3 linked regions of the Anolis sagrei genome follow. The main gene of each other region encodes a partner of the protein of the gene in region 2 in a complex. Links are inferred from orthologs where the notes say so. Each region holds a gene or a part of one and is shown on either strand. Other genes may lie near its edges.

What was found. The genes of interacting proteins can lie anywhere in the genome.
Region 1: the proteins of YWHAZ (region 2) and MAP3K5 are in contact, whole or in part, in a crystal structure (PDB 6EJL), measured with the Homo sapiens proteins. The link is inferred for Anolis sagrei from reciprocal best matches to the Homo sapiens genes YWHAZ and MAP3K5. Residues at the interface, in NP_001129171.1 of Homo sapiens: Val46, Lys49, Asn50, Arg56, Lys120, Arg127, Tyr128, Glu131, Gly169, Leu172, Asn173, Val176, Tyr179, Glu180, Ile217, Leu220, Asp223, Asn224, Leu227, Trp228; in NP_005914.1 of Homo sapiens: Ser964, Ile965, Ser966, Leu967, Pro968, Val969.
Region 3: the proteins of YWHAZ (region 2) and ITGA4 are in contact, whole or in part, in a crystal structure (PDB 4HKC), measured with the Homo sapiens proteins. The link is inferred for Anolis sagrei from reciprocal best matches to the Homo sapiens genes YWHAZ and ITGA4. Residues at the interface, in NP_001129171.1 of Homo sapiens: Lys49, Arg56, Lys120, Arg127, Tyr128, Glu131, Gly169, Leu172, Asn173, Val176, Tyr179, Glu180, Ile217, Leu220, Asn224, Leu227, Trp228; in NP_000876.3 of Homo sapiens: Arg1007, Gln1008, Tyr1009, Lys1010, Ser1011, Ile1012, Leu1013.

Annotation. Positions count from the first base shown.
Region 1 is NC_090021.1:79,747,543-79,755,482, reverse strand, and holds the start of MAP3K5 (mitogen-activated protein kinase kinase kinase 5), read right to left. Parts: upstream 3,006-7,940; 5' UTR 2,862-3,005; coding exon 2,447-2,861; intron 1-2,446. UniProt on the Homo sapiens protein: Serine/threonine kinase which acts as an essential component of the MAP kinase signal transduction pathway. Plays an important role in the cascades of cellular responses evoked by changes in the environment.
Region 2 is NC_090024.1:30,751,463-30,759,139, reverse strand, and holds the start of YWHAZ (14-3-3 protein zeta/delta), read right to left. Parts: upstream 3,004-7,677; 5' UTR 2,878-3,003; intron 1-2,877.
Region 3 is NC_090021.1:188,019,329-188,027,040, forward strand, and holds the start of ITGA4 (integrin alpha-4), read right to left. Parts: upstream 3,006-7,712; 5' UTR 2,678-3,005; coding exon 2,466-2,677; intron 1-2,465. UniProt on the Homo sapiens protein: Integrins alpha-4/beta-1 (VLA-4) and alpha-4/beta-7 are receptors for fibronectin. They recognize one or more domains within the alternatively spliced CS-1 and CS-5 regions of fibronectin. They are also receptors for VCAM1.

The DNA.
Region 1 (7,940 bases), on a different chromosome or scaffold from region 2:
AGGCATGACTGCATGGAGCGCCGTTACCTCCCCGCCGAAGCAGTATCTATTGATCTACTCACATTTGCATGTTTTTGAACTGCTAGGTAGGCAGAAGTTGGGGCTAACAGCAGGAGCTCACCCCACTCCCTGGATCTGGATCACCAACCTTTCAGTCAGCAAGTTCAGCAGCTCAGTGGTTTAACCCACTGTGCCACCAGGGCCCTGGATAAGGTGTATAATATGAAACAAAAATGTATTTGGTGCTGAGGCTTGTGTCCCATTTCCATTATGCATATGAAAATCTTCCAAAATCAGGAAAGGGGGCAAAATTCTAGTGCCAGGCCTTAGAGATAAAGGAGGCCATTCCAGGGATTATACTCCAACAGGTTCCACTGCAGGTACACAAGAATTATTATATTAGGAAGGGGTTGGAAGTGCTGAAGGAAGGGGACTCCCTTCCCCTTCAGTATCTCTCATCTGCAGTCAAGGAAGTGCCTTGCCTCCCTTGGCCCTCCTGTGCTGACAGGGAAGAAAGACTGTTTGCATCTACACCAAGTGTCTTCAAACTGCAGCTCTCCAGCTGTTTGGGCCTCCAACTCCCAGAAGCCCTAGCCAACTTGCTCAATTGTCAAGAACTGTGGGAGCTGGAGTCCCAGACAGCTGGAAGGCTCCCTGATCTCCACAGCAGAAATAATGCAGTTTGATGTCGCTTTAACAGCTCTGGCTCAATGATATGCAATCATTGGTGTCGTAGTGCCCTTCCAGAAAGGCCCTATATTCCAGGATCTGATCCCAGGTTTTCTGCTTTAAAGTGGATTATATGAGTCTTCACTGCCAGATAATCTGGGACAAAGAGAAAACCTCGGATCAGATTCTGGGATAAAGTGCCTGTCTGGAAGGGCTGGTGGTTTCATTAAGTCTTTTTTAGCCAAAGAGGGCTGGTTGCCTCGCCAAAGTGCAACTCCATAGGAAGTCCACAACAGTTCAAGCAGCATGAATCTGCACTCATAACTGCAAATTCTTGTAAAACTACAAATCCCAGGATTCCCTTGTACACTCCTGGTCCAGTGTAAAGGCACCCCTTCCAGTATAGGCAGTCCCCATGTGACAAATGAGAGGGGTTCTGTGGGCTTGTTCTTAAATTGAATGTGTGAAGTCTGAACAGGTACCCTTCTTAAATGCCAATCTCCAGCAATATCTATTATGCAAGCTTTGGATATCCTGGAGCTCCTGGTGGCGCAGCAAGTTAAATGCTAAGCTGCTGAACATGCTGACCAAAAGGTTGGCACATCGAATCCAGGGAGTGGGGTGAGCTCCTGCTGTTAGCCCCAGCTTCCGCCAACCTAACAGTTTGAAAACATGCAAATGTGAGAAGATCAATAGGTACCGCTTAGGCGGGAAGGTAATGGTGCTCCATGCAGTCATGCTGGTCACATGACCTTGGAGGCGTCTACGGACAACGCTGGCTCTTTGGCTTAGAAAAGGAGATGAACACCAACCCCCAGAGTCAGACACAACTAGACTTAACGTCAGGGGAATACTTTGGATAGCCTATGGAAGAGTGAACATCCCAGTGGCATTTCCTTTGCTGCCTGTGCCCCTGTTCGGGAGATTTCACCTCGATTTCTGTCCCTGTGATCATTTTGGGAAATTTCATTTGAAGGACGGGTGAGAAAGGTTCAGCGGAGACACCTTTCCGCTCTGACAACAACTCTTTCAGGAGCAAATTTCCCTTCTGAAAGGGAAGATTTCTCTCACTGGGTTGTTGTAAGTTTCCCAGGCTGTATGGCCATGTTCCAGAAGCATTCTCTCCTGATGTTTCACCTGCATCTATGGCAGGTATCCTCAGAGGGGGGAAAGGATGGGGCCTGAGACCAAGCCTCACAACCTCTGAGGATACCTGCCATAGATGCAGGTGAAACATCAGGAGAGAATGCTTCTGGAACATGGCCATACAGCCTGGGAAACTTATAACAACCCAGTGATTCCGGCCATGTTGTTGTTTTCGTGTCTGGAGTGACTTGAGAAACTGCAAGTCACTTCTAGTGTGAGAGAACTGGCCGTCTGCAAGAACGTTGCCAGGGGACGCCCGGATGTTTTGATGTTTTACCATCTTCCTCTCATGGGGAGCTGGAGCTGACAGAGGGAGCTCATCCGCGCTCTCCCCGGATTCGAACCTCCGACCTGCTGGTCTTCAGTTCTGTTGGCACAAGGGTTTAACCCATCGCGCCACGGGGAGCTCCTGATTCCGGCCATGAAAGCCTTGACAATACATTGATTTCCCTCACTTCCTGTTGTCTCCGCCCCGTTCTGAACTGTGAGTCGTTTGCAAGTGGGATGTTTGCAAGTCGGGGATTCCCCAGCATGGAGGGAGGGCTGCCAAGGCGCGTTCGTCCTCCAGTGGAGACGCAAGGAGGGCGGGAGAAGAGGGAGGGGGGAGGGAGGGGAGGGGGGCCTGCCTCACCGGCGTTGTAGAATCGGTCGAGGACAGCGGTCTCTCCGAAGTCGAGCTTCCCGAAGTGGAGCGCCTGGAGCTCGGCGCCCACGGTCTCGCACGCCTCGCGCAGGCTCTGCAGGGCCCCGCTCTCCGCCTGCAGGACGGCGCCCGGGCTGGCCTCGTTGATCACGTACGACACCGTGGTCCGGCGGGCCCCCCGGGACCGGGCCCCGGCCTCGCAGGCGACGGTGGTGCTCCCGTGGCCGCTCTCCTCGTTCCAGAAGGCGCCGGGCGGAGCTGCCCGCGAGGACCCCGCTCCGCCCGCCCCGGCCCCGGTTTTCCTCCCGAAGGCGTCCTCGCAGAGCAGCAGCGGGCATCCGCCCCCGACCAGGCTGGGCACCGAGAAGGTGATGCCCGCCGCCTCGCTGCTCTTGTCACTCATCGCCGCTTCGGAGCCCAAGCCGGCACCATCGAGGCGCGCGCCGGCCTTCCGGGACTTAAAGGGCCCCCGCTCTGCTCGCGGGACACTTGTTGCATCGCTCCCGCCTCCGCCGCTTCTGCCGCTCCGCGCCTGAGCCAGGAGAGGCCCCGCCCCTCGGGAGGGGGAGGGAGGGAGGGAGGGAAACGGGGCGGAGCTCGCCGCGCGCCCGTCAACACCCGCCGCCCAGCAGCAGCAGCAGCGCCCACGGTTGGCCAGGGGCAATCCCTGCGGAAGAGCGCCCCCTGCTGGCCCTGCCCTGGAAGGGTTTCGCCCAATCGCTTGCTTTCCTTCCTCAAGTAGAGCCGTGGCTCTTAACCTTCCCAATCCCGCCACCCCTTCATGCAGTTAGTTCATCATGTTGTGGTGACCTGCCAACCATAAAATTGTTTTCATTGCTACTTCATAACTGTAATGTTGCAGAAGCATACGAGAAACTCGGCCTGTCATTGAACATCGAGAAAATAAAGGTTGCTTACCTGTAACCGTATTTCTTCGAGTGTCAGTCCGTGAAATCCGCACCTATGGGTTCTTCTTTGCGCATGCGCAGAAACTCGGAACATTTCTAAGTTTAAAGAATTAAAAATGATTATTTGAGCCACCTAGGCCCCGCCCATTCCCCCGCCCCCCTGGATATAAGCGCCGAGCGGCGCCGCCATTATCTAGTTCCCAGCGCTAAACAGCAGCCAGGAGAATGGCATGACAGAGGGGAGGACGGGCGGGTCGTGCGGATTTCACGGACTGACACTCGAAGAAATACGGTTACAGGTAAGCAACCTTTATTTATTCTTCGTGTCGTCCGTGAAATGCGCACCTATGGGTGAATAGCAAGCTACTGACCTGGAGGTGGGTCATGCCACACAGGAGAAAAGAACTGCTCTGCCGAAGCTAGCATCTTGCTTTGCCTGTATGTCAAGCTTGTAGTGAGCGGCGAACGTGGACGGCGTAGCCCACGTAGCTGCTTTGCAAATCTGATCCAAGGGAATTCCCTTGAGGAATGCTTGAGATGTAGACACAGAGCGGGTTGAATGTCCCACGAGGTGGGATGGAGGTTCTTTCCCTGCGAGCTGGTAGGCTAGACGGATGGTTGCAACAATCCAGGAGGCCAGTCCTTGGGAGGACACAGGCTGGCCAAGTACGTCTTTCCTGTATTTCAAAAACAATCTGGGAGACTTCCTATAAACGGAAGTTCTATGTAAGTAAAAGGAGAGTGCTCTTTTAACATCAAGGGAGTGCAGAACTACCTCCAACTGGGTTGGGGAAAAAATTTGGTAGAACAATGTCTTGTGACATATGAAAATGAGAGACCACCTTAGGAAGGAACGTGACATCGGTGCGGAGGACAACCTTGTCAGGGTGGAATCTCACATAAGGAGGGTCTGAACGGAGGGCCGCGAGTTCGCTGGCTCTCCTAGCTGAAGTAATGGCCACAAGAAAGGCCGTCTTCCACGACAGGTGGGAGATATCATTAGAGGCCATAGGTTCAAATGGTGGTTTGGATAATTGGGATAGCACTAGCTCCAGGCTCCACTGGGGGGGAGGGGGGGAGACAGGAGGGTGGATATTTTTGTAGCCCTTAAGAAACAACTGTACCAGATGGTCCTGAAAAAGGGACGGCAGCCCGGACTTCCTTCGGAAAAATGAAATGGCTGACAGGTAGCATTTCACCGAAGAAAGGGAGAAACCTTTGTCGGAAAGGTGGACAAGGAAGTCTAAAACAAAGGGAACTGGGGCAGAGATAGGGTTGTGTCCCAGTGAGTGAGCAAAGGATTTGAAAGAGGCCCATTTATAGTCATATGACTTCTTGGTGGCAGGTTTATGGGCCGCCAAAAGTATACGGGAGACTTCATCAGAAAGGTCTAGTGTGGTTTGATTCTCCACGCCGTTAGGCGTAGAGATTGCAGGTCGGGGTGTAGGACCAGGCCGTTCTCTACTGTGAGAAGGTCCGGGGTTTGGCTGAGGTGGAGGTATTGTTTGTTGGAAATTTGGAGAAGGGGGGCAAACCAATGTTGTCGTGGCCACCAGGGTGTGATTAGAATGCAGTCCGTGTTGTCCTGAATTATTTTGGCTATGACTGGGGATAGGAGGGGGAGCGGTGGGAAGAGGTAGAGGAGGCCGGGCGACCATTGGAATAGGAAGGCGTCCCCGAGACAACCTTGGGATGCGCGAGGGTGGAGCCGTGCGCAGTAGAGTGGGCAGTGGTTGTTTATTGGAGATGCAAATAGGTCTATTCTGGGTTCGCCCCACTTGCGTGTGAGGGCTTTGAACTGTCTGGGGTGGAGATGCCACTCGTGGTTGTTTTTTGAGGATCTGCTTAGAGAGTCCGCCAGGATGTTGTCCTGGCCTGGTAAGTGGATGGCTGTGAGGAGGACATTCTTCAGAATGCACCACTCCCAAATTTGTTGTGAGATGTGGAGGAGTGTGCGTGAGCGTGTTCCTCCCTGTTTGTTGATGTAGTATTTGACAGAGGTGTTGTCTGTTATTATTTGTATGACATGATTGGACACAATGCGTGTGAAGGCCCGAAGAGCCTTCTCCACTGCCATCATTTCTAAGGCATTGATGTGGAGCTTCTGCTCTTGTGGGGACCAGTGGCCACTGATCTGGAATCCCTTGAGATGTGCTCCCCAACCTGAGTTGGAGGCGTCGGTTGTGAGGGACATGGAGGGACGGGGATGGTTGAATGGCATCCCCGAGAGAACATTGTATTGCTTTGTCCACCATGAGAGTGACTGGAGGACAGGGGGTGGTGGTTTTAGGACCCGTGACTGGGGTTCGTGAAGGGGGTCGAACGCTTTGAGAAACCAACTTTGGAGGGGTCTCATTCTTAGACGGGCAAAGGGTGTTACACTTGTGGTAGAAGCCATATGGCCAAGGATAGATTGGATAGCCCAAGCTGATGTTTGGCGGGATTGTTGTAGGGTTAGGATAGCCTGACACAGATTTAGGAAGCGATCTTCTGGGAGGAAGGCCTTCTGAAGTGTGGAGTCTATTATGGCTCCTATAAATTGGATACGTTGTGTTGGGGTCAGGTGAGATTTTTCGTGATTCACAACCAGACCCAGATCCTGTAAAAGAGATAAAGTATAATCAGTATCCTTGCACAGTTGTGATCGAGAGGATGAGCAAAACATCCAGTCATCCAGGTAAGGAAAAACTGTGATGCCTTGCTGGCGGAGGTGTGCGGCTATAACAGACATGCATTTGGTGAATACCCTTGGAGATGTGGAAAGTCCGAACGGGAGAGAATTAAAAGAGAATAGTTTGTTTTGGACCGCAAAGGTAAGGAACCTGCGGTGGGAGTGTCTAATTGAAATATGGAAGTAGGCGTCTCGAAGGTCAATCGTGGCTAACCATGAGTCCTTGGGAATGAAGGGAAGGATTTTGGGGAGTGTCACCATATGAAATTTACGTGGTGTAATGAAAGTGTTGAGTTTACGTAGATCAAGGATGGGGCGTAGACCACCATCTTTCTTGTCCACCAGGAAGTAACGGGAGAAAAAACAGATGTCTGAATCTTGTGAGGGAGTAGGCGAGATGGCGCCCTTTTGGAGGAGAGAGTGAATCTCTTCCCAAATGATTTGGGAAGGTGGTGTTAGCAGTACATTACCCACTGGGGGATAATTGTCAAATTCTATGGCATAACCCCTTTCAACGATGTCCAAGACCCAGGTGTCTGTGGTTATGGACTGCCATGTCGGAAGGAAGGTATGTAGTCTGTCAAGGTATGTAAGCGGTTGGGTGTGGGGTGGTGAGGGAGTGTCGGTAAGTGTAGGTGTGCTAAAAACGGCGTTTGTTGGTATTGGGGGGCCTGGTACCACGGTACTGACCTCTGGAAGGTAGGGGCGGTCGTCTTGATGATGTGGAGGGGTTGTAAGGTCTTTGTCGTCCCCTGTAGAATGAGGTGTTGTAGGGCCTATTGTAGTATTGAGGACGGTAATAATAGGAGCCCCATCGTTGGCGTTGGTAGGAGTATGGTTGATGGTCATACTTGTATACTGTTTGTTTCATTTCATGGGAGTGTTTTAACTGAGAGTCTGTTTCAGGATTGAAAAGGCCTGCCTCATCCATGGGGAGATTTTCAATCAGGGTGCGTTGTGATTGAGAAAGGATAGCTGCTCTTAGCCAGGCGTGGCGACGAAGGGCCACTGATCCTGCAATAAGTTTGCCTGCGGTGTCAGCAATATTTTTGGAGAGGTCTTTTTGTAGGGAGGCCAAAAGGAGAGCTTCTTGTTTAAAAGCTGTGGCTAGAGGTTGTTCAGTTGGTGGTAACAGGTCTAGATAGGGAGCAATTTTGTTCCACAAGGCAGTCTGGTATACACTCATGTATACTCCATAGTGAGCCATGCGTGCAAAGAGGCATGCTGAGGAGTAGAACTTTTTGGCCATAGCATCCAACTTTCTTCCTTCCTTATCAGAAGGAGAGGTTTGGTTAATTTGAGTTGGTTTAGGTTGAGCATCAGTCACAACAGAATTTGCTTTAGGCATTTTAGCAAGCCATGAAGCTGAGGAAAGGTCAATACGGTACAAGTTTTCAGGCCTCTTAGGAGTTGCCGGGACAGAAGCCGGGGCAACTCCATTATTTTTGAGAATTTTTAATAAGTAAGGTAGAGTGGGCAACACAGTGGATGATGGTTGTTGTTGTTCAGTGGAAGTAAAACACGGGTCAGCTACCGTATCGGTAGGTTCCGGAGTGGCTAAGTTTAAGGTTCTAGTTAGTCTTATTAAAAGAGCTGAGAATTTTTTGAATTCCTCCACATTTTTAGGGGAGGGGTCAGCGTCAGGTTGGGTATCCAGGATGGCAGGTGTGTCATCATTGGATTCAAGGTCGATGGTTTCTGAGTCTGGCAGGGGTGGATTGTTGGGATCTTGCTCGGGTGGGTGGGTTTGGGCCTCAGTTTGGTCTTCCTGAGGGCGAGAGAGTGTGGCCGTGGGAGGCGCACAGGGGGGCTGAGGGTATCTAGGGTCCTCCAGATGGGAGGCATCAAAGCCCCTATAGTGATCAGGGTGGGGAGGATAATAGAAAGGGTATGGAGGGAAGGG
Region 2 (7,677 bases):
TCAGATAAGCAGATATTGTGGGATTTTCTCCCTTGATATTCTGGGTTATATGGCTGTGTGAAGGGCCCTGGGTCATCTGAGCCCACACCATCCCATGACCCAGTTCAAAGCAGATATTGTTGGATATTCTGCCTTGATATTCTGGTTTATATGGCTGTGTGGAAGGGCCCTGAGTGGGCTGAATTTCTCAGTGGGGAACAGAACCTAAACTGGCTTAATCCAGATCTCCAGTCACAAAATTGTACCTCTTCTTGCCCGAGGCAGCCTATCCCTGGGGAAGTTTAAGCCATCAATGTGTCCAGGAGACATCAGGTTTTACCAACCATCACCAGCAGTCTGAAACACTACCCACCCTCCTCCCTTTTTTATTTTATTCTGGAAGGGCCCTGGGTTATCTGAACCCACACTGCCATATAACCCAGTTCAAAGCAGATATTGTGGGATATTCTGCCTTGATATTCTGGTTTATATGGCTGTGTGGAAGTTGAGTTGAATCTCTCAGTGGGGAACAGAACCTAAACTGGCTTAATCCAGATCTCCAGTCACAAAATTGGCTGGATGGCCATCTGTCAGGGATGATTCGAATGCAATATTCCTGCTTCTTGGCAGGGGGTTGGACTGGATGGCCCATGAGGTCTCTTCCAACTCTTTGATTCTATTATTGTACTTCTTCTTGCCTGAGGCAGCCTATCACTGGAGAAGTTTAAGCCATTAATGTGTCCAGGAGACATCAGGTTTTACCAACCATCACCAGCAGCCTCAAACACTACCCACCCTCCTCTTTTTTATTTTATTCTGGGTTATAAGGTTGTGTGGAAGGGCCCTGGGTAATTTGAGCCCACACTGCTACATAACCCAGTTCAAAGCAGATATTGTGGGAGATTCTTCCTTGATATTCTGTGTTATATAGCTGTGTGGAAGGACCCTGGATTATCTGAGCCCACACCGCTACATAACCCAGTTCAAAGCAGAAATTGTGGGATATTCTGCCTTGATATTCAGGTTTATATGGCTGTGTGGAAGGGCTCTGGACTATCTGAGCCCACACTGCTACATAACCCAGTTCAAAGCAGATATTGTGGGATATTCTTCCTTGATATTCTGTGTTATATGGCTGTGTTGAAGGGTCCTGAGTTATCTGAGCCCACACTGCTGCATAACCCAGTTCAAAGCAGATATTGTTGGATATTCTGCCTTGATATTCTGGTTTATATGGCTGTGTGGAAGGGCTCTGAGTGGGTTGAATTTCTCAGTGGGGAACAGAACCTAAACTGGCTTAATCCAGATCTCCAGTCACGAAATTGTACTTTTAGGCCATCAATGTGTCCAAGAGACATCAGGTTTTACCAACCATCACCAGCAGTCTGAAACACTACCCACCCTCCTCCCTTTTTTATTTTATTCTGGGTTATAAGGTTGTGTGGAGGGGCCCTGGGTTATCTGAGCCAACACTGCCATATAACCCAGTTCAAAGCAGGTATTGTGGGATATTCTGCCTTGAGATTCGAGGTTATATGGCTGCGTGAAAGGACCCTGGGTTATCTGAGCCCACACTGCCGTATAACCCAGAATCTCAAGGGAGAAAAATCCCACAATATCTGCTTTGAACTGGGTTATATGGCAGTGTGGGCTCAGATAAGCAGATATTGTGGGATTTTCTCCCTTGATATTCAGGTTTATATGGCTGTGTGGAAGGGCCCTAGGTGGGTTGAATTTCTCAGTGTGGAACAGAATCTAAAATGGCTTAATCCAGATCTCCAGTCACAAAATTGTACTTTTAAGCCATCACTGTGTCCAGGAGACATCAGGTTTTACCAATCATCACCAGCAGCCTCAAACACTACCCACCCTCCTCTCTTTTTTATTTTATTCTGGGTTATAAGGTTGTGTGGAAGGGCTGTGGGTTATCTGAGCCCACACTGCTACATAACCCAGTTCAAAGCAGATATTGTGGTATATTCTACCTTGATATTCTGGGTTACATGGCTGTGTGGAAGGATCCACAGACCCACCTATTTCTCCCGGTTTTCGCCAAGGAAGGAAGGAAAGAAGGGAGGGGGAGAGAGAGGGGGGGAGAGAGAGAGGAAGGAGGCGGCCTCTTGGCGATCCCTTCCTCCTCCTCCTGCGGCGGCCACACCCTTTCAAAAAAGCGCCCGAGATGAAGGAGTGGAGGCGGCGGAAGGAAGGGAGGCAGGCAAGGAGGGAGGGAGGGGGAGCAAAGAAAGGGATGGAGAATGGAGAATAGAATGGAGGAGGCAGTGTGCTCCCCAACATGGCGCCCCACCTCGCCTGCCTCTCCTCCAAATCCCTCCCTCCAAACTGAAGGGAAGAGGAGAGGAGGTCGGTGTGGGCACTTCCCCTTCTTCCATCATGCCTGAAGAGAGAGAGAAAGAAAGAAAAGAAAGAGAGGGAAGGAGGGAGGGAAGGAAGGAAGGAGGAGAGTCCCCCTCCCTCCCTTCCCTCCATCTTTCTTCCTGGCGAAAATAAGGGACACCGCCCTGAGGGCTTCACCTGCCTCAGGGAAAGGGAAAAAATGGCGCCCCCGCCTCGCCCACTTAAAACCCCCTCCCTCCAAACAGAACCATGTTCCTCCCTTCCTCTCGATCTGAGGGAGGGAAAGGACGAGGGAGGCACCTGCGCCCCAGCAAGAGAGGGAATGAATGGCGCCGCCGACGCCCTGAGAAGACAAGGCCGCGGCTCTTCCCTCTTCCGACGCTCCCCCCCCCCCCCCCCCACTTCTCCTGTTTTGCGGGCTCTTCCCGCCACTGCCTTCCCTCCCCCCCGGAAAGAAAGAAAGGAAACGATAGACAAAGGAAGCGGAGGGAGGGAGGGACCGAGATGGGAAGAGCCCACCCTCCTCGAGAGGCCGTTCGTTACCTTGCGGGGTCGACACTACGAGAGAGTCCCTTTAGGCGGGTGACCGGCGCGGACTGTGCCTCCCTCGTTCGCAGCAGCCTCTCTCGCTCTCTCTCGCTCTCTCTCACACACACGCACGGGGTCTCCGCCAATCACCGCGTCGCAACGCACGGGCAACACAGAGCCCGTGACGTCAAGCGGCGCCATGGCAACGGCGAGCGGGCGGTAGAGGGAGCGAGAGCGCGCGCGCCCTGGAAGGCGCCTACACTTCCCCTCCCTCCATTCGCGCGCGCGCACATACACACACTCTCTTTCTCTGCCTCTCGCGCGCGCCTCACCTCTTTTTCCGCTTTCCAAAGCGATGGACTGCACCAACCGCCGCGAGAACGAGCGCGCGCGCTCGCCTCACTAGGACACTTCTCTCTCTCTCTCTCCTTTTCCCCTATGCTGATGATCGTGCCATTTACCACTCAAGCAGAGAGCTTTGAGATGTATTGTCGAAGGCTTTCATGGCTGGGAATCACTCAGTTCTTGTGGGTTTTTTCGGGCTATATGGCCATGTTCTAGAGGCATTTCTCCTGACGTTTCGCCTGCATCTATGGCAAGCATCCTCAGAGGTGACCTCACCTCTGAGGATGCTTGCCATAGATGCAGGCGAAACGTCAGGAGAAATGCCTCTCGAACATGGCTCTATAGCCCGAAAAAACCCACAAGAACTGAGCTTTGAGATGGTTGAAAAGAAGCTCTCCAAAGCTCTAGGTCAGCATTTCTCAACCTGGGGGTCGGGACCCCTGGGGGGGGTCGTGAGGGAGTGTTAGAGGGGTCGCCAAAGACCATCAGAAAACACAGTATTTTCTGTTGATCATAAGGGTTCTGTGTGGGAAGTTTTGGCCCAATTCTATCGTTGGTGGGGTCAAGAATACTCTGATTGTAGATGAACTATAAATCCCAGCAACTACAACACCCAAATGACAAGGTCTATTTCCCCCCCCAAACTCCACATTTGGGCATATTGAGTATTTGTGCCAAGTTTGGTTCAGATTCATCACTGTTTGAGTCCACAGTGCTCTCTGGATGTATTTGAACTACAACTCCCAAACTCAAGGCAATGCCCACCAAACCCTTCCAGTATTTTCTGTTGGTCATGGGAGTTCTGCGTGACAAGTTCCGTTCAGTTCCACTATCGATGGAGTTCAGAATGCTCTTTGATTGTAGGTGAACTATAAATACCAGCAACTACAACCCCCAAATGACAAAATCAACCCCTCCAACCCCACCCGTATTCAAATTTGAGCATATCAGGTATTTGTGCCAAATTTTGACCAGTGAATGAAAATACATCCTGCATATCAGATATTTATGATGATTCATAATGGTAGCAAAATGACAGTTTTGTTATGGTTGAGGGTCACCACAACATGAGGAACTGTATTAAGGGGTCACTGCATCAGGAAGGTTGAGAACCACTGCTCTAGGTGCTCTTACTGCCTATTACAGGGAAAACGAACTGATCCCTAACCCATCTGAAACACAGACGTGTGCTTTTCATCTTAAGAACAGACAAGCATCCCGAGCTCTGAGGATTACCTGGGAAGGATTCCCACTGGAGCATTGCAACACACCCAAGTACCTGGGAGTCACTTTGGACCGTGCTCTGACCTACAAGAAGCACTGCCTGAACATCAAGCAAAAAGTGGGCGCTAGAAACAACATCATACGAAAGCTGACTGGCACAACCTGGGGATCACAACCAGACACAGTGAAGACATCTGCCCTTGCGCTATGCTACACTGCTGCTGAGTACGCATGCCTTTCACCTTAAGAACAGACAAGCATCCTGAGCTCTGAGGATTACCTGGGAAGGAATCCCACTGGAGCATTGCAGCACACCCAAGTACCTGGGAGTCACTTTGGACCATGCTCTGACCTACAAGAAGCACTGCCTGAACATCAAGCAAAAAGTGGGTGCCAGAAACAATATCATACGAAAGCTGACTGGCACAACCTGGGGATCACAACCAGACACAGTGAAGACATCTGCCCTTGCGCTATGCTACTCTGCTGCTGAGTACGCATGCCTTTCACCTTAAGAACAGACAAGCATCCCGAGTTCTGAGGATTACCTGGGAAGGAATCCCACTGGAGCATTGCAACACACCCAAATACCTGGGAAAATATAGACCCCTGACTGATCCCACAGCAAGCTGGCTTCGGAAAAGGCAAAAGCTGCACATTGCAAGTGTTGAACCTGACTCAGCACATAGAAGATGGCTTTGAAAGGCAGCAGATCACAGGAGCTGTCTTCATAGACCTGTCAGCAGCTTATGATAGTGTGAACCACCGCCTCCTCCTGAGAAAAATGTATAATATCACAAAGGACTACCACCTCACCCGCCTCATAGGAAACCTGCTACAAAACAGGAGCTTTTTTGTTGAGTTCAGGGCCAGAGAAGCAGATGGCGGAAACAGAAGAACGGCCTGCCTCAGGGGAGTGTGCTTGCTCCATCCATGTTCAACATCTACACAAATGACCAGCCACTGCCAGAAGGGACGGAGAGTTTCATCTATGCTGATGATCGTGCTATTACTGCTCAAGCAGAGAGCTTTGAGATGGTTGAAAAGAAGCTCTCCGAAGCTCTAGGTGCTCTTACTGCCTACTACAGGGAAAACCAGCTGATCCCTAACCCATCTAAAACACAGACATGTGCCTTTCATCTCAAGAATAGAGAAGCATCCTGAGCTCTGAAGATCACCTGGGAAGGAATCCCACTGGAGCATTGCAGCACACCCAAATATCTGGGAGTCACTCTGGACCATTCTCTGACCTACAAGAAGCACTGCCTGAACATCAAGCAAAAAGTGGGTGCCAGAAACAATATCATACGAAAGCTGACTGGCACAACTTGGGGATCACAACCAGATACAGTGAAGACATCTGCCCTTGCGCTGCGCTACTCTGCTGCTGAGTATGCATGCCCAGTGTGGAACACATCTGACCACACTAAAACAGTGGATGTGGTTCTTAATCATCATCATCATCATCTTTGAATAACTTATTAATTGCCCTCCATCCGAGAATGCTCTAGGCGATTTACAGCTAAATTATAAAAGATAAAATACATATATACAAAAATTAAAAATCAACAGAGATCGAATGCTCTAGTAAAAACCCAGGTCTTAAGTGCGAGAGTAAAAGGCCCTAAGTCACGCATGGCTCTCATGTAGGGCGGCAAGGAATTCCACAAGGCAGGGGCAGAAATAGAAAAAGCCCTGCGCCTGGTCCTTTCCAAGTGCACTTCTCTAGGATCCGGTATATGGAGTAAGTCATGTTGGGCTGGTCGTTGCGACCTCTGATGATGAGAGAAGGAGAGGCGGTCCCTAAGGTACGATGGACCCTGGCCGTAAAGAGTTTTAAAGGTCAGAACTAGCATTTTATACAGGCCACGGTACTCAGTTGGAAGCCAATGTAAATGTAGCAGCACTGGTGTTATATGGCATTTCATGGGCGTTCTTGTGAGTAGCCTGGCTGCCGCATTCTGAACAATACGAAACTTTTGGGTCGTAGACATTGGAAGGCCAACATATGTATTATATACATTGTATATACATATAATATTTATAATATTGTAATGTAATGTAATGCAATATAATACTACTACTAATAATATGATATTATAATTATATATTTATATTACATGTAATATTACTAATAATATTACAGTATAATTGATATAGTGCAATATAGCAATATTTAAAACTGATATTGTACTATGTTAATAATATATTGTATGTATATATACCTTGTAAGGCGCTCTGAGTCCCCTTCGGGGTGAGAAGGGCGGCATATAAATGTCGTAAATAAATAAATACAGGGCGTTGCAATAGTCCATGCAGTAGACATGCCGCATTATCACGGGGTGTCTGCGCCCTACACCACTGGAGAAATTACACTGCTTAGCCTGTATTGCACCACCTGACATCCGCCGGGAAGTAGCAGCCAATAGTGAAAGGACCAAGGCAGAGACATCTCCAGCTCATCCCCTGTTTGGGTATCAGCCAGCACGTCAACGACTTAAATCTAGAAATAGTTTTCTAAGATCTACAGAGACACTCGCTGGAACACCTCAGCAAGCGAGAGTCCAAAAGTGGCAGGCCCAAACCCAGCACCTCAGATGAGAGACTCCCTCCTGGGCACACAGAAAACTGGGCGACTTGGAAGGCGCTGAACAGACTGCACTCTGGCACCACGAGATGCAGAGCCAACCTCAAGAAATGGGGCTACAAAGTGGAATCCTCGACATGCGAGTGCGGAGAGGAGCAAACCACTGACCACCTGCTGCAATGCAACCTGAGCCCTGCTACATGCACAATGGAGGACCTTCTTGCAGCAACAGCAGAAGCACTCCAAGTGGCCAGATACTGGTCAAAGCACATTTAACCAACTACCAAGTTTGCAAAATCTATGGGTTTTTTTTGGTTTTTTTTAATCGGTGTGTTTGTTTTGTTCTGTTAGAAATGTAATACAATGGTATGGTTGCTGATGACACGATAAATAAATAAATAAATAAATAAATCCTCTCTCCCCCCCCCCCCCCCTTTCCTTTCCCTTTCCCAACTCTCGCGCTCTCGTGCGCGCGCTCCCTCATCGGGAGCGCGCGCACCGCCTCTCCTTTCCTCCCTCCCTCCCCAACTTCCTCCACTCCCCTTCACCCCTCCCACTCACTGCAGAGCGCGTTGGCTCGCGCATGCGCCGCACGCACCCGCCGCTCCTCTCTCTCTCTCTCTCTCTTCTTTTCTCTTCCCTCCCTCTCTCCTTCCTTC
Region 3 (7,712 bases), on a different chromosome or scaffold from region 2:
CATCCCATTGAGTCGCGAAAACTGTTATTTTATTTTTTACAATGACATCCATGGAGTCACCATTAGTGGGTTTGCCATAAGACCCCAGTTGATTTGAAAACAGCGACCATGTCAGGTGACTTGAAGGAGAACTCTGGAGAAATCAAATGTTTACATGTCAGGCACTTGGTTGATTTGGAATCTCACCCCCCCCCCCCCAAATCACTCAAACTCTACCTCTTTGTATTATTTTCTCCCCCCACCCTAATGACATTCATGGGATCTCCAGAATACGCCAGGTAACTAGATGAGAGTCCTAACAAGTCACACTCCAAAGCCCTGGCACTTCGGTGAGTGGGATTTTGAACCCCACATAAGTCACTCAAACTCTTAGTAAAGAAACAAACAAACTACAACCTCATTTCGTTATTTGCTTTGGCTGTGAACTCACACACTTCTCTTGTCCCTTCCTCAACATTCAGACAGCAGGATGGAGAAGACAAGAGAGAATTAAACTAAGTCTTATTCTCTAGCTCACTCGCTCAAACAAGCACAGAGCCTTATCCAACGAGACCCCCCCCCCCCCCCCAGTTTTAAACACTATGTATACATTTATAGAATGGAAAGCAATGGAACCCATCCCACGATGCAGGGGGACTTCCTGTCTCTGCCTGTCAAGATTTGTCATGTAATCGTTGAAAAAGGGGATGGGGGAGATGACGATCTGAAAGCATCTCAATTGTCTTGGATGCATGATATTCCATTTCTAAAGTGCCCAAAACATGTGGGATAGGAGCCGTCAGAATTGCCTACATTGACTCAAATAGGATGACGTAGGCAAATGGGCTGTCCTGTGGGCGGTCTACTAACCAGCAGTAAGCCCCCACTTCTCTGCTGTAATGTGGCCACACAATCAATGTCTGTAATTGTTTAATATATATTTAGAACTAAGAAATATTGTTACTTTAGTAGATCACTATTTTTCTTAAGGAATGCAAATCTCAAACCAGCAAGAGTTTGGACTCTTGTGATGTCGAAGTAACGCCCTTTTTTGTAAAAAGGGGGAGGGAGGGAACGGGTGGACAATCCACTTGCTGGTGGGATAAGGATGAAAACAGTTAGAAAGGGAGAAACCACCAAATTCAGAAGACACGCTGTAAGTAATAACTGAGGGATGAATTTGGTTAGTAAAGGAGAAACCAGCAAGTTCAGCAGACATATGGTAAGTATTGTTGAAGGCTTTCATGGCTAGACTCACTGGATTGCTGTGAATTTTCTGGGCTGTATGGCCATGTTCCAGAAGCATTCTCTCCTGATGTTTCGCCCACATCTATGACAGGCATCCTCAGAAGTTGTGAAGTCTGTTGGAAACTAGGGAAGATGGGTTTATATATCTGCCAAATGTCCGGCGTTGGAGAAAGAACTCTTGTATGCTGAATGTTGCAACTGATCATCTTGATTAGCATTGAATGGTCTTGCAGCATCAAAGCTTGGCTGCTTCCAGCCTGGGGGAATCCTTTGTTGGGAGGTATTAACTGACCCTATATCCCAGAATATCAAGGCAGGATATCCAACAATATCTGCTTTGAACTGGGGGTCCTTTCATACAGCTGAATAAAATCCCACATCATCTGCTTTGAACTGTGATTTATGGCAGTGTGGACTCAGATAGCCCATTTCAAATAAAATATTGCGGGATTTTCTGCCTTGATATTCTTGATATTTTCTACCTTGATATTCTGAGTGTGGAAGGGCCCTCAGTTATCACACTCAGATAATGTGGGGGTTTTTTGCCTTGATATTCTTGGATATAGGGCTGTGTGGGAGGGCACTCAATTAACTGAATTCACACTCAGATGTGGGATTTTTTTTGCCTTGATATTCTGGATATAGGGCTGTGAGGAAGGGAGCTAGGTTATCTGAGTTCACACTCAGATAATGTGGGATTTGTATTGTTGAAGGCTTTCATGGCTGGAATCACTAGGTTCTTGTGGGTTTTTTTGGGCTATAGGGCCATGTTCTAGAGGCATTTCTCTAGCTCCATCAGAGAAGAGCTCTTTGCCCCACCCCAGCCATTCCACAGATATATAAACCCATTGTCCTAATTCCAACAGACCTCACTACCTCTGAGGATGCTTGCCATAGATGCAGGCGAAACGTCAGGAGAAATGCCTCTAGAACATGGCTCTATAGCCCAAAAAACCCCACAAGAACCTATAATATTCTGGGATATAGGGCTGTGTGGAAGGGCCTTCACACTCAGATAATGTGGGATTTCTTTTGCCCTGATATTCTGGGCTATAGAGCTGTGAGGAAGGGCCCTAAAAGGCCATGATGCCATGATCATGAACTCCCCCAAAGAGGACAAGGTCCTTAGTGTCAAGGAGCCCTTGAGTCTGAGCAGGAAGAGCATGTGGGATGCCATGGGTGGCTGGGCTGCAGGCTGGGCAGAAGAGTTGCCCTTGGGTGGGGCGAGGGCTACTCACCAGGGCGTGTGGGCCACGCTGTGGAGGAGCACCGAGTAGCCAAACAAAGTCCCGTTGTGCCCTTGGAAGACCAGCGGGCTCAGCGTGTCCAAGTTGTAAGCCTGGGCAGGCGTGGAGCAACAGCTGAGGGAGAGGAGCAGGCGGGCCAGCCCTGGCGGGGAGAAGAAGCGCGCCTCCTTCTGCTTCTGCTTCTGCTGCCAAGGAGCCTTCATCCCTCTTGGCTGGCTCTTTCCCTTGTTCTACAAGTTGTCTCCCGTCTCAGGCTCAAGGCAGACACGGAGGGCTGCTCCTGCTGCCTCCAAGTCCCGGCGCTTCTTGGAGTCCAGGAGGCGCCAAGTTCAAAGAGTGAAGTCAGTCCAAAGTTGGAGCTGGGCGCCTGCCTCTCTCGAGGGCGGGGTGGCTGAGGGGGAAGTTTGGGGCTGGCTCTCCCCAGCAAGGCTTGAGGAGGCGCTCCTGGCCCTGCTTCGCCAAGCCGAACCCCGAACGCGCGCGAGAGAGAGAGGCCGCTGCTTTCAATTAGGGACAAAGAGGAGGGAAAGGAGAGGCAGAGAAAGCAGAAAGGAGGAGACCGAGGCGAGGGTCGAGGGGTTGTCCCAGCAAAAGAAGGAAGTGCCCAGAGCACCAGGAACACCCCCATGCCCCCAACAAACCGAGCAGCGTCCAAGTGGGCTCAAGGCGGGGGAAAGTTTCCAACAGAGCTCACAACCTATGAGGATGCCTGCCATAGATGCAGGCGAAACGTCAGGAGAGAATGCTTCTGGAACATGGCCAGACAGCCCGAAAAACCTACAACAACCCGGGGAAAAGTTGTGAAGGAAGAACCACACACAGACTTTGAAACACAGCAGTAATTTAGGGCCCTTCCGCCAAGCTCAGTAAAACCCCACATTTTCTGATTTGAACTGTAATATATGGCAGTGTGGACTCAGAGAACTCAGTTATTGTGGGATTTTCTGCCTTGATATTCCCTTTATAGGGCTGTGTGGAAGGGGAGAAAGTTGTAAATAAACACACACACTTCTGAAGGTAAAGGTAAAGGTTGTCCCCTGACATGTCTGACTCAGGGGTGCGGTGCTCATCTCCATTACTAAGCCAAAGAACCGGTATTGTCCATAGACACCTCCAAGGTCATGTGGCCGGCATGACTGCATGGAGTGCCGTTACCTTCCCACCGAAGTGGTACCTATTGATCTACTCACATTTGCATGTTTTCGAACTGCTAGGTTGGCAGAAGCTAGTGCTGACAGCAGAAGCTCACGCCGCTCCCCGGAATCAAACCTGCGACCTTTCGGTCAACAAGCTCAGCAGCTCAGCGCTTTAACCCACTGCACCACTGGGGGCACTTCTGAAAGACAGCAGCAATTTAGGCCCCTTCCACACAGTTGAATAAATTCTACATTTTCCACTTTGAACTGGAATATATGGCAGTGGAATATATGGATGTGAGAGCTGGACCATAGGGAAGGCTGAGCGAAGGAAGATAGATGCTTTTGAACTGTGGTGCTGGAGGAAAGCTCTGAGAGTGCTTTGGACTGCGAGAAGATCCAACCAGTCCATAATTCAGGATATAAAGCCTGACTGCTCATTGGAGGGAAGGATAGTAGAGGCAAAGATGAAGTACTTTGGCCACATCATGAGAAGAAAGGAAAGCTTAGGGAAGAGTATGATGCTGGGGAAAATGGAAGGAAAAAGGAAGAGGGGCCCACTAAGGGCAAGATGGATGGATGGCATCCTTGAAGTGACTGGATTGACCTTGAGGAGCTGGGGGTGGTGACGACTGACAGAGAGCTCTGGCATGGACTGGTCCATGAAGTCACAAAGAGTCGGAAATGACTGAACGAATGAACAACAACTATATGGCAGTGTGGACTCAGATATCTCAGTTCAAAGCAGATATTGTGGGATTTTCTGCCTTGATATTCTGGGTTATATGGCTGTGTGGAAGGGCTCTCAGTTATCCGTGTCCACATTCAGGTAATGTGGGATTTCTTTTGCCTTGATATTCTGGGATATAGGGCTGTGAGGAAGGGCCCTTGTCGTGCCAGGCTCTTCCTGCTCCCCTTGGGCTCAGCTTCAATGGCTCCTTGACACTAAGGATCTTGTCCCATTTGGGGAAGTTCATAATCATGAAATCATGCCCTTGTAGGGCCCTTCCACACAGCCCTATATCCCAGAATATCAAGGCATAAAAAATCCCACATTATCTGAGTGTGAACGCAGATAACTGAGTGCTCTTCCACATAGCCCTATATTCCAGAATATCAAGGCAGAAATCCCACAATATCTGCTTTGAACTGGGTTATCTGAGTCCACACTGCCGTATATTCCAGTTCAAAGCAGACAATGTAGGATTTTATCCTGCTGTGTGGAAGGGACCTCAGATAACCTAGGGCCCTTTCACACAGTCATATAACCCAGGTCCCATCCAGACAGTACCTCTATCCCAGGAGCTTCTGCAGCAAACAGGAGGGTGACCAGACGCTGTTTCCTGTAAATATGGAAGCAATCACTACAAAAGGCAAAAAACACAAGATTTCCAGGTGCAGGAATATCGCAGTTTTGAACCGAATATGCGGATCTTCGCATGTCTGTATGTTCCTGCAATCAGAAATCACAAGATTTTTTTTTATCTGGGTTTGTTCCTGAGTTTTAGATGTTTGTTCTTGATTGGTCAGTTCCAAAAAAGAAGGTGATGTTTGAGTAGAAGGCAAAAGCTTTGTTTGTATGCCAGAAACTTCATGAAACTTGTGGAGGGCACATTTTCTCTGTCCAGGATAAAGTTGTACATCTTTTCACAAGAAGAGCAACCAGAAACAGCCATGTATAACCCAGAAACAGCACCCTGTTGTTTAATGCCACAAGTACACAACAAAATCTGTCTGGACCAGTGATTCTCAACCTGGGGAGGGGGGGTCCTGAGGGGGTGTCAGAGGAGTCGCCAGAAACCATCAGAAAACACAATGTTTTCTGTTAGTCATGAGGGTTCTGTGTGGGAAGTTTGGCCCAATTATATCATTGGTGGGGTTCAGAATGCACTTTGATTGTAGGTGAACTATAAATCCCAGCAACTACAACTCCCAAATGTCAAGGTCTGTTTTTCCCCCAAACTCCACCAGTATTCACATTTGGGCATATTGAGTATTTGTGCCAAGTTTGGTCCAGACCCATCATTGTTCTCTTACAGTGCTCTCTGGATGTAAGTGAACTACAACTCCAAAACTCACTATCAATGCCAACCAAACCCTTCCAGTATTTTCTGTTGGTCATGGGAGTTCTGTGTGCCAAGACTGGTTCAATTCCATTGTTGGTGGAGTTCAGAATGCTCTTTGATTGTAGGTGAGCTATAAATTCCAGCAACTACAACTCCCAAATGACAAAATCAATCCTCCCCTCCAACTCCACTAGTGTTCAAATTTGGGCGTATCGGGTATTTGTGCCAAATTTGGTCCAGTGAATGAAAATACATCCTACATATCAGATATTTTCATTATGATTCATAACAGTAGCAAAATTACAGTCATGAAGTAGCAACGAAAATAATTTTATATTTGGGGTTCACCACAACATGAAGAACTGTATCAAGGGTTCGCGGCATTAGGAAGGTTTAGAACTACTGGTCTGGACAGATGGCCAGGCAGACAGGCTCTAAAAGGTGTCAATAATGACAAAGTTCTGTTCTTGGCTTGAAAGTCTGTGTTCCTGTTTGTGCAGTGCTGATTTGGGCATAAGTGGTCCTACTCCGTAAACTTTGAGTGGCAGATGCTTCATGAAATGTCAGGAGGGCACAGTTTCCTTGACCAGGACAAAAATGGAACTTTTGCAGTGATTCACTACAGTGAGTTTCTGCATGTCTGCATTTTGAGGTTTTTTTAAAAACCCGCAGAAGTTTCAGGCGGAAGTCCTGCATCAGCCATCTTGGAAGCTTCTAAATATCACAACAAAGCATCAGATCTGGACAACAAAGACAAAACTCCCAGGACCAACAAGTCTGTATGTAGACCTCTACTGAAGTCCCAGAATTTTTTGTCCCAGTTTAAAATTCGTGATTTAGTGCTCTCTGGAAACACCCCCAGAATATCAAGGCAGAAGATCCCGCAATATCTGCTTTGAACTGGGTTATCTGAGTTCACAGTGTCATATATCCCAGTTTAAAGCAGAAAATGCGGGATTTTATTCAGCTGTGTGGAAGGGACCTAAAGTAGTGGGAGGATAGGGATCTTGAGTGACAGACGCTCCCTGCAAAGTCTTGAAAGATGTAGATGAGGCAACCAGACCAGAGGAATAGGCGGTTGGAAGGTTCATCTATACTATACAAGAATGGAGTTTGACACCACCTTAACTGCCATGGCTCAGTGCTATGGAATTCTAGGATTTCTTGTTTTGTGAGGCACCAGCACTTTTTGGCAGAGAAGGCTAAAGACCTTGTGATACGACAACTCCATTGATCCCATAGCTATGACCCCTGGCAGATGAAAGATGAGGGCCTTTCCACACTGCCCTATATCCCAGGATCTGATCCCAGATTATCTGCTTTAAAGTGGAATATATGAGTCTCCACTGCCAGATATTCTGGGATAAGCAGCTAATCTGGGATCAGATCCTGGGATATAGGGACAGTGTGGAAGGGCCCTGGGTGGAAACTCAACATGGGAGAGGGGAGAGAAGCAAAGTGCTACAGTCTCTTCTAGCTTGTGTGTGTTCCCTCATTAATAATTTTTCCCAATTGGAACACACTCCAAGGTTGCTTGGACACATGGGCCTGGTTTTTATCTGAGAAATATTGAAGAGTTCAATCACGAGCCTTCCAAGATCCTCTTACACTACCATAGAAAATCCAAATTATCTGCTTTGAACTGGATTATATGGCAGTGCAGACTCATATAATCCAATTCAAAGCAGGTAATCTGGATTATCTGATTTGATAATCTGGATTATATGGCAGTGCAGAAGGAGCCCCAGAGGTTGCTGAAGTGTATCTCCCAAGATTCCTCACCAGGGCTGCTGATATTAGTAATCCAGCAAAATCTGGAAGGCTGCTCCTCAGGTTTTGGTTGGTACACATTTTGGACTTGAGCTTCCAGAAGTTCCATCCATCATGGCCTGTGATCAGGGATGGTGGGAGTTAAAAGGCTGGGGATCCATTGTTTTCATACAATCAAGTAAAATATCACAAAGTAGTGAGCCAGCTTTGTTCAATATCCAGAAAACTCAGAGACTTGTTTATTGAGTGACATTTCAACTGGTAGC